Nothobranchius furzeri: one gene and its partner. The protein of the gene in region 1 interacts with the protein of each later gene in a pairwise test. Links are inferred from orthologs where the notes say so. Each region holds a gene or a part of one and is shown in the gene's direction. Other genes may lie near its edges.

Region 1 (5,576 bases):
CATCTGGACACCTCTTGTGGGCGCCCTTGATTACAATCAAAGAGATATCATCAGGAGAAAACAGGATTTGCAGCAAGCTGCTGCGTATCATAAGTCTGTTGTGGCGAGTGTAATCTCTTTGGCCGTCACCTGTTGGGGTAGCAGCGTCGGAGCCAGGTACGTAAAAAGACTCGACAGAGCCTGATGAGAAAGGACTGGGTCTGTTCTACTGTGGAACCGCTGGAGATGATTGTGCCAAGAAGGATTCTTCAAGGATGGACAACCCTGAACATCCTCTTCACGACACCATCATGCATCAACAGAGCATCTTCAGTTTAAAGACTTTGAGCTAATATGAGTTCATTATTGTTACTATTATTTTATCGTTTGAAGAGTGAGTCAAACACAACTTCCCACTAAATAAAGTGTTTTTTATTCGAAAACTCATGTTGGGTTCATATTCCGTCTTGCATTTGGTTTTGTGCAGCTGTTCAGCGTCTGTTATTCATGGAATGTGGGGCAACTTTTTCTTTTCATCTCAGTCGCATCAACAACGAAAGGGGCGGAGGAGATGAGTCCGTCCGCAGCTCGAGTGTGGACATTTCTGTTGTGCCACGGCTTAAATGCTTTCTCTGTCCCTCAGGGCCGAAAAAGGGCAAAGACTCCAAAAGGAAAGAGGACTTACCGATCAAGCCGAGGCCGCCCGTGACTTCCTCCCGCTTCACTGTCAGCCCCGCCGATGACCCCCACTCGGTGTGATGTAGAACATCATCACAGGAACTCTCAGAGACGAGCCCTCTCCAGAGGGCAGTGAATTTACCCAACAACCAGCCATTCACCCAGAAGATATTTTTTTACTGAACAGGCGACCAGAACGTTGAGACGCTGACTCTGGACACATTCCCGGACTTCGCCAGTGACAGGATCTTGTATGAAAAGTTATCTGAGCTCCTGCCTGCCACTGTTTACAGAGTCTTTGGAAATATGAGCTTATGTTGGAAAAAGAGCAACTTTGGAGCTTTGTAAAATCTGAAACAACTTTGTCAGCTATGCAGTGGGAGTCTTGCTGTGTACCAGCGTACCTTCTCTTTTCTCCTTCATTCTGTTGAATCGTTTTCTTAGGGTGTGTGGGAGGGAGATGCACTTTCTTTAGTCGTTCATCCGTCTGTGTATACGCTTGGACTCTTCCCCAGTTTATCCTCAACGACGTTTTTCTTTGCAGTCAGTCCGTCGTGCTTGTAGGCAGCAGTTTCAAGCAGACATTTCCTGACTCCTGTATCTGAAAATACTCCTCAGCATTTGTGCAAGTATCACAACATAGGTGGACACAATATTGTTTTAGAGCTTTTGCTTTAAGAAGCAATCTTGGACTGCAAAAAAAGGTATTTTACTTTGGATTTGTATCTTAGAAAAGCATTTTTAAAATTTGTTTTATTTTTATATTTATCATACTGATAGAATTATTTGCTGTAAACCAAGTTGTGCAAATTAGTTAATTAATTTACCTATTTATTTATTTATTTATAAGTTCATTTATTTGCTTTAGAGTAGTTAACATTTATGAAATTTATTTAGTTTGGGATAAAGTGCATCCAAGTTGTACATTCTCTTAAGATCTTCATAACAAATACAATATTTTCCCAAACATTTTAATTGCTGGAAGAAAATGTATTTCGAATAATTTTACTTGTTAATATATTATGACGATCTTTACTGTGTGGAAATCTCTCTCTCTCTCTCTCTCTCTCTCTCTCTCTCTCTCTCTCTCTCTCTCTCTCTCTCTCTCTCTCTCTCTCTCTCTCTCTCTCTCTCTCTCTCGGTCTTGGTCAACATTTTCAGGAGCTTTACCACTTTTTTACTTGTTTGTTTGATAATGATTATTGTAGCTTAGCACCACAAATCAGAGCTTTTCATGAGTAAATAAGTCAATTTGTTTGTGTATTTGTTGATTAATTTATTCTTCTTTTTTTAACTAATAACAGTTGGTCATGCTGCAGAGGTCCGGCAAGTCTGTTTAGTCTGTTTCAATGTTAAACTTGTGTTGTTTTAAAATGATTTTCAAAGGGGACGATGTATAAATAAGAAGAAATAAGAAATAAAAACAGAAAAAAGTTGATATTTTACCTAAAATGTTTTCATGGATATAAATCTCACTGTTTGTCATCTTAAAACGAAGTATTCGCAAATAAAGCAATTAGTTTTCATCTATTTCTCAGTTTATGGGCCAGTGACTTCATTTCCCAGAAGGCCTTAGGAAGCTCATTACGTATTTAATCTGCGACAAGAGCAGAGCACAACATTAGCTTTAAACGGACAAATAAAATAGCAACAGCGTGTTTAAACAGATTAGTTGTCTTCTGAAGTTTTTTTTCCCCGAGTAAATAATCTCAATTTGAATCTCAGAGGTGAGTTCTAACATTTTAATAAAGCTTCAGGAAACGTTTAGGAGACGTTTGATGCCGCTAGCTAGCTAACAGCGCAGCTGGTGTGTTAACGCGGCTGAGAAAAACATCTTAAAATGTGTTAATTATTATATTTATGTTATGTGTTGCAATTTTACATGTTATTTGAAGAGCTTGAAGTAATGAAATGCCATGCAGCCACTGAAAACGAGACAAAAAGTTGTATACTACCAATAGTATTTCAATGAAATACTGTGTATGAGGTTTAAAATGTATCTTTAGCAAACTATAATTTTAGTTTAATAGCAGTTTCAGGTTTACCGGTTGCACGAGATAATTTTGGTCGTGTATAAATGTTTAGAAATCAGTTAAAATGAGTAATAATGTAAAACATAGTGATTTGCTGTACATTTGTGTTTTCAGCCTTTTGAAATAGTGAATGAGACAGTATTTGGTGTTTTAGAAAAGCAGGTTATCTCTATCTGTGTACATGTATGTGCCAGTGTTTACTTGGTTTCACTAAAATAATGTGATTTAATCCAACGAAATATCAAATTACATATTAAAATTAGATTATTTAGTAGAGGTAACTACTGGCATAAATACGCCTTCTATTAAATTTTTCCAAAGATTAATGAAGTTTTAAATTAAAGAAACAGAAGTATGGAGTTAGTGGAAAAACATGTTCAAAAATCTGAAGATCAGAGCTACAATAAAAATAGATGTTCATCATTAAGATGAGGCTTTTATTACCATTCTTTCTTTTTCTCTGTGTGTGTGTGTGTGTGTGTGTGTGTGTGTGTGTGTGTGTGTGTGTGTGTGTGTGTGTGTGTGTGTGTGTGTGTGTGTGTGTGTGTGTGTGTGTGTGTGTGAAAATGTAGAAGAAAAGTGCTGTTATGAATATACTGTCTAAGATGAGAAGGGGGTGTACACAGACACACACTTTGGTTTGTTTTCATGTATTTATCATCTTCATATTGTTATTTTTATTCGCTGCTCTTTTGCAGATGTCTCTAGCAGACGAGCTCCTGGCTGACCTGGAGGAGGCTGCAGATGAAGGAGAAGAAGGATTGTATCCAGATGAGGAGGAGGGAGACAGTGATGGAGAGGGGATCCAGGGAAGGACACAGGCAGGGCTGGAAGACATTCCAGAGGAGATGGAGGTGGACTACAGTAAAGCTGAAAGCGTTGCGTCCATCGCCAAGCTTCGCAACAGCAAGCAGGTTATCATCTGAGTTTTCTGTGTAGTGAGATGTACAATAAAACATTAGAATCCCACTTAACTGTGTGTGTTTTTAGTTTTCAGACATCATGGACAAAATTTCAGAATATGTGGGAAAGCAACGCAAAAATTCAGACGGTCAGTTTGATTCCTTTGAGTTTCATCAATGCTCAGGCGTCCCTCACAGCATTTAAATCAGCTCGGTGCTGACAAATCTGAAGTGATTGCTGTGTTTGTTTTTAGTCTCTGGTCCTGTTGAGGCTGATCCAGAATACAGGCTGATCGTAGCGGCCAACAACCTTACTGTGGAGATCGACAACGAGCTCAGTGAGTCAGCTGGCTGTTCCGCTGCGAGGAACCGTGACAGAAAAGCGTGAGGAGTAATTCCACACATCTAATTTTTCTATTCCTTTTGTACTTTTAGACATCATTCACAAGTTTACAAGAGACAAATACTCCAAGAGGTTTCCTGAGCTCGAGTCTTTGGTGCCAGATGCTTTAGATTACATTCGCACAGTCAAGGTGAGCTGACGTCTTGATTCTGAATTTCACATTAAAATGTCACCTTTTTGAATATTTGTGTCATTGGTTAAATGTAATAAATATTTTCTGAAGGATTTGTGAAATCACACAATTCTCTGCTGTTTATTTACATTTTTAATTTTATCTCCAAACTTTTTAAACGTAAAACCGGATTAGTTTTTTTTTGTTTGTGTTTGTGTGTGTGTGTGTGTGTGTGTGTGTGTGTGTGTGTGTGTGTGTGTGTGTGTGTGTGTGTGTGTGTGTGTGTGTGTGTGTGTGTGTGTGTGTGTGTGTGTGTGTGTGTGTGTGTGTGTGTGTGTGTGTGCAGATTTAGCAAAACATTCAGTAATATTTGTGTGTTTTTTGTAGGAACTGGGAAACAATCTGGATAAATGTAAAAACAATGAGACCCTGCAGCAAATCCTGACCAATGCAACTATTATGGTTGTCAGTGTCACCGCATCGACCACACAGGGGTGAGTTTTCCTGTCAGAATCCTGTTTGGCGAGTGAACAGCATGAAGTTTTTGAATAATTCAGATGTTAAAGGGGCATTATGGAAGTTTGACAGCCAAAACATGTATAGAAATAATAAATGTCTTCTTCATACATTCTCCTGCAATGCCCTGGTCCTGTAGAATGAGCCCTGGCATTTTTACTGTGATTGCCTGTTTTTCTGTAAAATCACAGAAAAAGAGAGATGCTCGGGTCGAGCAGGCTGCTTCATGCGCGTTCACGCTCAGGCATCGCCCGTAGCATTTGCTATCCGTAGCTTTAGCAGCAGAGAGAGAGGCAGTGCCACTTTGTCGCTGTTCCTAACGCCTAGTGACAAAGCTAGCTACATTTCTGAGGACCCTTAGCTACTTTCTGTAGAACTTTCTTCTAGATATTTCCTGCAAATTAACAACAAAATAGCCATTTTCACTCTGAACCGTTCTTTGGTTTGATGTTGTTTCAGCTGTCATCAAGGATATAAAAGTTACAGATACTATGAATGTTACTAGAGTGTAACTCACCTTGTAAGATGTCTGACTCCCATGCAGAAGACCTGGGTTCAATTCTGGGTGTGAACATAGTTTATTTAGAGTTTCTTTTTTACATTAATGGTATATTTTTTACAGTAAGACGCCCAAATTTTTATTTGAGACTCGCCGAACGGCATTGAATTCACAGATAAAAAGATGTGGGTTCAACTTTCATTTTGGAACAAATTTTCAAGCAAGGGAAGGGAATGATCTGAGCATGCAGGAGGACTGACCCATCATAAACCTTTGTCGGCTGTGCTGAAGAGAAAGGTACAGAACCAAATTATTTAATTAATTAGCTGCGTGTTCTCCTGTCCTCTGTCCTCCGGGCCACACACACACACACACACACACACACACACACACACACACACACGCACACAAGGGACTGTCTCAGCTGTTATTTTCATTTAGGAGTGTGCACGTA
Region 2 (5,609 bases), on another chromosome or scaffold:
CCGGCCTGGATGCAGGCGTTGTACCGGTTTGTGGTGAAGAGAGAGCTGAGTCAGAAGGTGAAGCTATTGATTTACCGGTCGATCTACGTTCCTACCCTCACCTATGGTCATGAGCTTTCTAGGGTTGGGCATCGAGCATCGATTGGAACCGGTTCCAACTGTTAGTTTTTCCCGGAATTGTTCAGTTTTTTATTTCTATTCCTAGTTTCGATTTCTAGAATGCCGACGGAGGAGGAGTCCGCGGCCGATCTCCGTGAAAAATAAACGTGATCTGCAATTTGTGATCAACTTTTCAGAGCTGATCACAGCTGTGTGTGTGCAGCTCCCCCCACGGCCGCGCAGCGGCCAAATATAAACAAACCATCTGCTGAACCTTTACTCAGTAATGTAAACTTTAACTCCTGCAGCGTAGAGGAAACTTGTTCAAATACGTCAACACGGTGGATTTAATAGAAGCTTTAAAGAACAAACTCTGGACGGTGTGAGGCGAGTTTGTCTCACTGCAGAAATAACAACACACACGGAGCGTCAGCAGTCAGACACAGCTGCTCACCAACACTCGTGTGTGTGTGTGTGTGTTGAGAGTTTTAATGTTTGAATCTGTTAGCTTGTTACTGACAGCAGCTACATCTAACTTCCTGTTGTGACTGAGCGCTGCTGCAGCATGGAGGTGTAGTTCTCCGTCATCCTGGACATGATCATCCTGAGAGTTCCAGCTGAAAACAGCTGGACGTTTCTGGATATGTTGGAGACATTTAGCCTCTCATCCCAGAGGCTTCTTCCAGACTTTGGTTGTGGTCAGAAACAAACACACTGGTTGTGCTGCAAGTCGTCTTCTTTTGTCTCCAAAACATGTTTGCGTCTAAATGAAGGTGATGTTGTTGTTCATAGAGTTAAAATTCATGTTGAAGTTAAGATTATTTCATCAAGTAGGACCTGTGGTTAGCTGGCTCATGTAAAGCTTGTCGTGTCTTGAAAGAATCGGAATCGGGAATTGATAGGAACCGGAATCGAAACAAGGAATTGGAATTGGAATCAGAATCTGAATTGTTCAATATCAAACGATGCCCAACCCTAGTAGTGACCGAAAGAACGAGATCGCGGATACAAACGGCCGAAATGAGTTTTCTCCGAAGAGTGGCTGGGCTCTCCCTTAGAGATAGGGTGAGAAGCTCGGTCATCCGGGAGGGACTCGGAGTAGACCCGCTGCTCCTCCACATCGAGAGGAGCCAGTTGAGGTGGCTCGGGCATCTGGTCAGGATGCCTCCTGGACGCCTCCCTGGTGAGGTTTTCCAGGCACTTCCAACTGGGAGGAGACCTAAAGGTAGACCCAGGACACGGTGGAGCGACTATGTCTCTCACCTGGCCAGGGAACGCCTTGGGATTCCCCCGGAGGAGCTGGCCCAAGTGGCTGGGGAGAGGGAAGATTGGGCCTCTCACCTTAGGCTACTGCCCCCGCGACCCGACTCCGGATAAGTGGATGAAAATGGATGGATGGAAATTGTTTCTAGATAGAAAAACAACTAAAAACAAAACAGTATCTTCTAGCCTTCAACATCTGCATCTGATTAAATCAGACTCCCACCAGCCTGCTTTCTAGACAGAACCCAATTACATTAAATGTTGCACAGTATTAGATATGCACCACTAAAGTACTACATAAGATATTGTATTATCATGTACCCCATGCCTTTTGGGTCCTCTTTTCAAAGTGCAGCTTTATTAATTTAGTTTAACTCATGCTCTCGTGCTGCATAAATAATTCTTGATTCCTCAAGATAGTTTCTTTCCCATAAATGTATGAAATAATGAAAAAGTTGCTGTTATTTCTTTGTTTCCCATATTTTAAAAATGTAATTGTTTAATCAGGTGAGATTATTTTTGACCTATTTAAAACTCTCTGAACTTCTTGAATAATAATAATAACAATAATAATAATAATTATTATTATTATTATTGTTATTATTATTGTTACAGGCTAATTGCGGAAACAGTGACCGCCTATAGCTGCTGCGCGTGGCCCCGCCTCCTTCTCGCTTGCCGGGGACATCTCAGAGGGATCCTCAATAATCCAGGGGACCCAAAGAGGAGAGGAGCTGCGTCCTGGCTCAGCGGCACTTTTTACGGAATTAAACCTGCGCCCGTGTCCCAACAGTTCTCTGCGCGCGCCCGAGCTCCGCGAGGACCGTGGGATGCGTCCGTAGCGCGAGCTCGAATGACATTATTGTTGTTGCTCCACAGAAACACGCACGACTGGAAGCTTCTGGACGCTGGGTAACTTTTGCTCAATATTTTTTAATTTTTGTTCATTTTTTCTCTCCCCGCGTTTCTGACTTTCACCTGACGCGCACCCGAGTCTGGAGCCCCGAAGCCGAGGGCGAGATGGAAATGGAAAAGTACTTGCCGGAGCTTTTGGCAGAGAAGGACACACTGGATCCGTCTTTTCAGCACTCCCTGCGGCTGCTGGATCAGGGTAAACGTCCGTGATCAAATCCTGGTGATAAACACCCTTTTTGTTCGATTACAGTGGTCGGGCTGAACGGATTTTAGGTTATAATTCTGCTCCAGAAATAAGATGTTTGTGGTTCTTCTAGTAAATTAGTCACACTTTAGACAGATTTAAGTGTAATCGCTCTATGTTCAGAAAACATTCTCAAACAGGTCAAATACATCATATGACAATTAGGACATATTTATTTTAGGTCAAATTCTACCACCTAATTTGGTTAAAATCATTTTTTCCTAATTCCGGTGAGTTGGGGCAGTTAATGTAATCATTTATAGTAAATATATCCCCTGACTGGTTTAATAGCACCAGTGAAACATGCAGAAGTTGTGTGAAATGTGTTGGAATAATTTTACTCACATTGGAAGGTACGTGTGTTTGCCACTTTTCAAACACACACCCACAGAGAGGAGCTGCCACCGTGATTAAACCACTACTCCCAGCTTTGAAGCTGAGAGTTTTGCGTTCCCTTCTCCAGATGCTCCCTTGCTGAGCTTCTCATGTTGGATGTGCACTTATTTTTTTTAAATTTTTTACCATTAAATACTACATTGAAATGTAAAATTTCCTTAAGCAACTTATGTCGACCTAGTTCCTTATGTGTAAAGAGTAACATAACACATATAACGTTGTATATTTTAATGTAACTAGAGTTAGTGGAACCAGTCGGCATACATTTGTTAAGTAAATTCAACAAAACATTATTTAAAGTGTACTTGCGTGTGCTTTTTTGGGATCCATTTGAGTGACTTAAACCAATCTGGTGGTACTGTAATTAAGTCTGTTGAATCCCCGGATCCTGTTGCTGTTATCGTTTATACACTCTAAGAAATAAAATGTTGAATTTTCTCACCAAGTTATGTCAACTGGTTCCGCTAAACCTAGAGTAAGCATTGTTATACGTTGTTGTTTGGGATGTTCCAGTCACATTCTTTGCTCCCGATCTGATACTTCAGCAATAATTTGGTATAAGAAAAAAGAGAAGACATCCAAGTTGTCCTTTAAGTTTATATTATTGCCACAAAACATTTTTTAGGAACATTGCTAAAAAAGGGTTAAAATTACGAAAATATTTAAAAGTAGCATTGCTGCTCGTATTTCAAATTGTTTACGTCCTTGCAGCTGTATCGAGTGACGCGCGTTCCAGCAACGGGGACGGCATGCGGCACCACGGCCGACGGGCTCACTTTTCTCTGCACAACACCTGTAGCTACCGTGGCAGCACGGCTCCAGCACGGTGAAACCCGATGTTATGTTTTCAGGCGGCAGTTTCTCTTTTTTATTAACGCATCTTTTACTGCTGGCTGGCTCCGTGTTTTTGTCCGAGTTGCTGCAGTGAACTGGGAATACTGGTGTCAAACTAGGGCTTAAGGGAAACAGGTGATTCGCTTTAGCGACACTTGAAGGAAAATGTCAAGAAAGTAGTTTGTTTATAAGGCTGAGACCCCCCCCCCCCCCCCCCCCGGTCCTCATGCCCCTTGTGTCCCCCCCACTTTTGAAGTCAGAACTACGTCCATGCCAGTATACACACATTACATATATTTTTTATGTGCTACGCTTCCAAAACACGTCACACTCAGCAGTTTAGATAGGGTCAGACAGGAAGTCAAACATGAAATGAGTGTTAAACATCAGGATATCTTTCAAAATAAAACAGCTGCAGCTAAAAGTACACCATTTCCTATTAAAACCCCCGTAGCGGATGTAAACAGAACAGAAAAGAAAGCACAGACGTCTTTGGAAACATGCAGCTGTCTTTCCCTCTGCTTGTTGTTGTGTGGACCTCTGAAATCATCCGTGCTGTTGCAGTCCTACGACTTTCTGACCTCACGGATTCAGCTGCAAGTAACTCTAGTTTTATCTGTTTCTCCTATTCCGGTCTTGTGATTTTGTTGTGAAGCACTTAGTATTTTTACTTGTGAGAGGTGCTATATAAATACACGTTACTTACCTATATAAATACCCGTTACTTACTGCCTATTTACTGTCTGCCGTAAACTGTGGGGCTCTACGGTGTTGTTTTTGTTGAAGAAACAAAGAATATTAATGTAGAAGAACTTGATGAAATGAAAACAGGACCATAGTTATAACATTTGTAAATCTCTCTCAGGATGAATTTTAAAACCTGTTTGTTGTTTTTTCAGGTTAAATGACCATTTCCCCGTTTCCCAATCCTTTGAAAATTATGTGATTATGCCCGATTTCCAGTCAGATCGGAGAATCCATAAACTAACATTTGTTTTTGTTTAGTGGAACCAGTGGAAACAACTTGGTTAGGTAAATTCAAGATTTCATTTCTTAGAGTGAATTGCCGTGTCAATTAAAATAAAATACTATACGCTTGAAGACATCCATGGGTTCGTAAAAGGGTTGTGATGGACCCTAGCAAAGCTTAGCATAATTTAACTTTAAATTTGCTTCTGGATAGAAAAGCGAATCTGAATGTTCGCTTATCATTTAGATCCTCCATGTAGATATTCACCGTGTTTCTGCAACCAATTATTTCTATTCATTAACCGGCTGGTATTTACTTGATGATACGCTGCTTCAAGGAACGCCCACCCCCGTACACACTGTGGAGCTACTCTGACTGTGAAACAGTTTAAAAGTGAAACATGACAAAAGCACAAATAAATCACATTTTTGTACGACTTAATCAGCAATGAACCAATTTCACAACTTATCAAACTTAACTTATTAAAGTTTAAGAGAGCAGCAGTGATAAAGATGTAAGAGAAAATGTGTGATAGATGAAGAGTTATGTTTGGTTGTAGTTGTTTGCTTTGCTGAATTATTTATTTTCATTGCTTTAGAGCGATTAAGTTGTGTCAGTCTGGATGTGTGTGAAATAAAAGTCATCATAAAGTTCACGTGGAAGAAAAGTACTCTTCAGAGGGCAGCAAAGAAGAGGAAGAGGAGGTGCGAGGGTACGCTTCATAACTCAAGAACACGCAACTCTTCAACAGACTGAAAAACAAGCAGGACGATACATTAAATAAGAATAAACACTGATTTAGTTACTGAAGCAGAGCAACATTTTATGGAAGGTCACCAAACTTCACTGTGTTCTTCTTGATTGGTAAATAATGGATTTTCATATAAG

What was found. The genes of interacting proteins can lie anywhere in the genome.
Region 2: the proteins of prpf31 (region 1) and khdrbs3 interact in binary tests that used the Homo sapiens proteins (3 or more experiments, as listed by UniProt). The two-hybrid records come from large-scale screens. The link is inferred for Nothobranchius furzeri from reciprocal best matches to the Homo sapiens genes PRPF31 and KHDRBS3.

What each region holds. Positions count from the first base shown.
Region 1 is NC_091745.1:76,607,550-76,613,125, reverse strand, and holds the start of prpf31 (U4/U6 small nuclear ribonucleoprotein Prp31), read left to right. Parts: upstream 1-2,244; 5' UTR 2,245-2,384; intron 2,385-3,388; coding exon 3,389-3,604; intron 3,605-3,680; coding exon 3,681-3,741; intron 3,742-3,846; coding exon 3,847-3,930; intron 3,931-4,027; coding exon 4,028-4,125; intron 4,126-4,494; coding exon 4,495-4,601; intron 4,602-5,576. Other genes in the region: uncharacterized protein lmtk3, read left to right, coding at 623-738. UniProt on the Homo sapiens protein: Involved in pre-mRNA splicing as component of the spliceosome. Required for the assembly of the U4/U5/U6 tri-snRNP complex, one of the building blocks of the spliceosome.
Region 2 is NC_091751.1:1,192,304-1,197,912, reverse strand, and holds the start of khdrbs3 (KH domain-containing, RNA-binding, signal transduction-associated protein 3), read left to right. Parts: upstream 1-2,046; 5' UTR 2,047-2,382; coding exon 2,383-2,473; intron 2,474-5,609. UniProt on the Homo sapiens protein: RNA-binding protein that plays a role in the regulation of alternative splicing and influences mRNA splice site selection and exon inclusion. Binds preferentially to the 5'-[AU]UAAA-3' motif in vitro.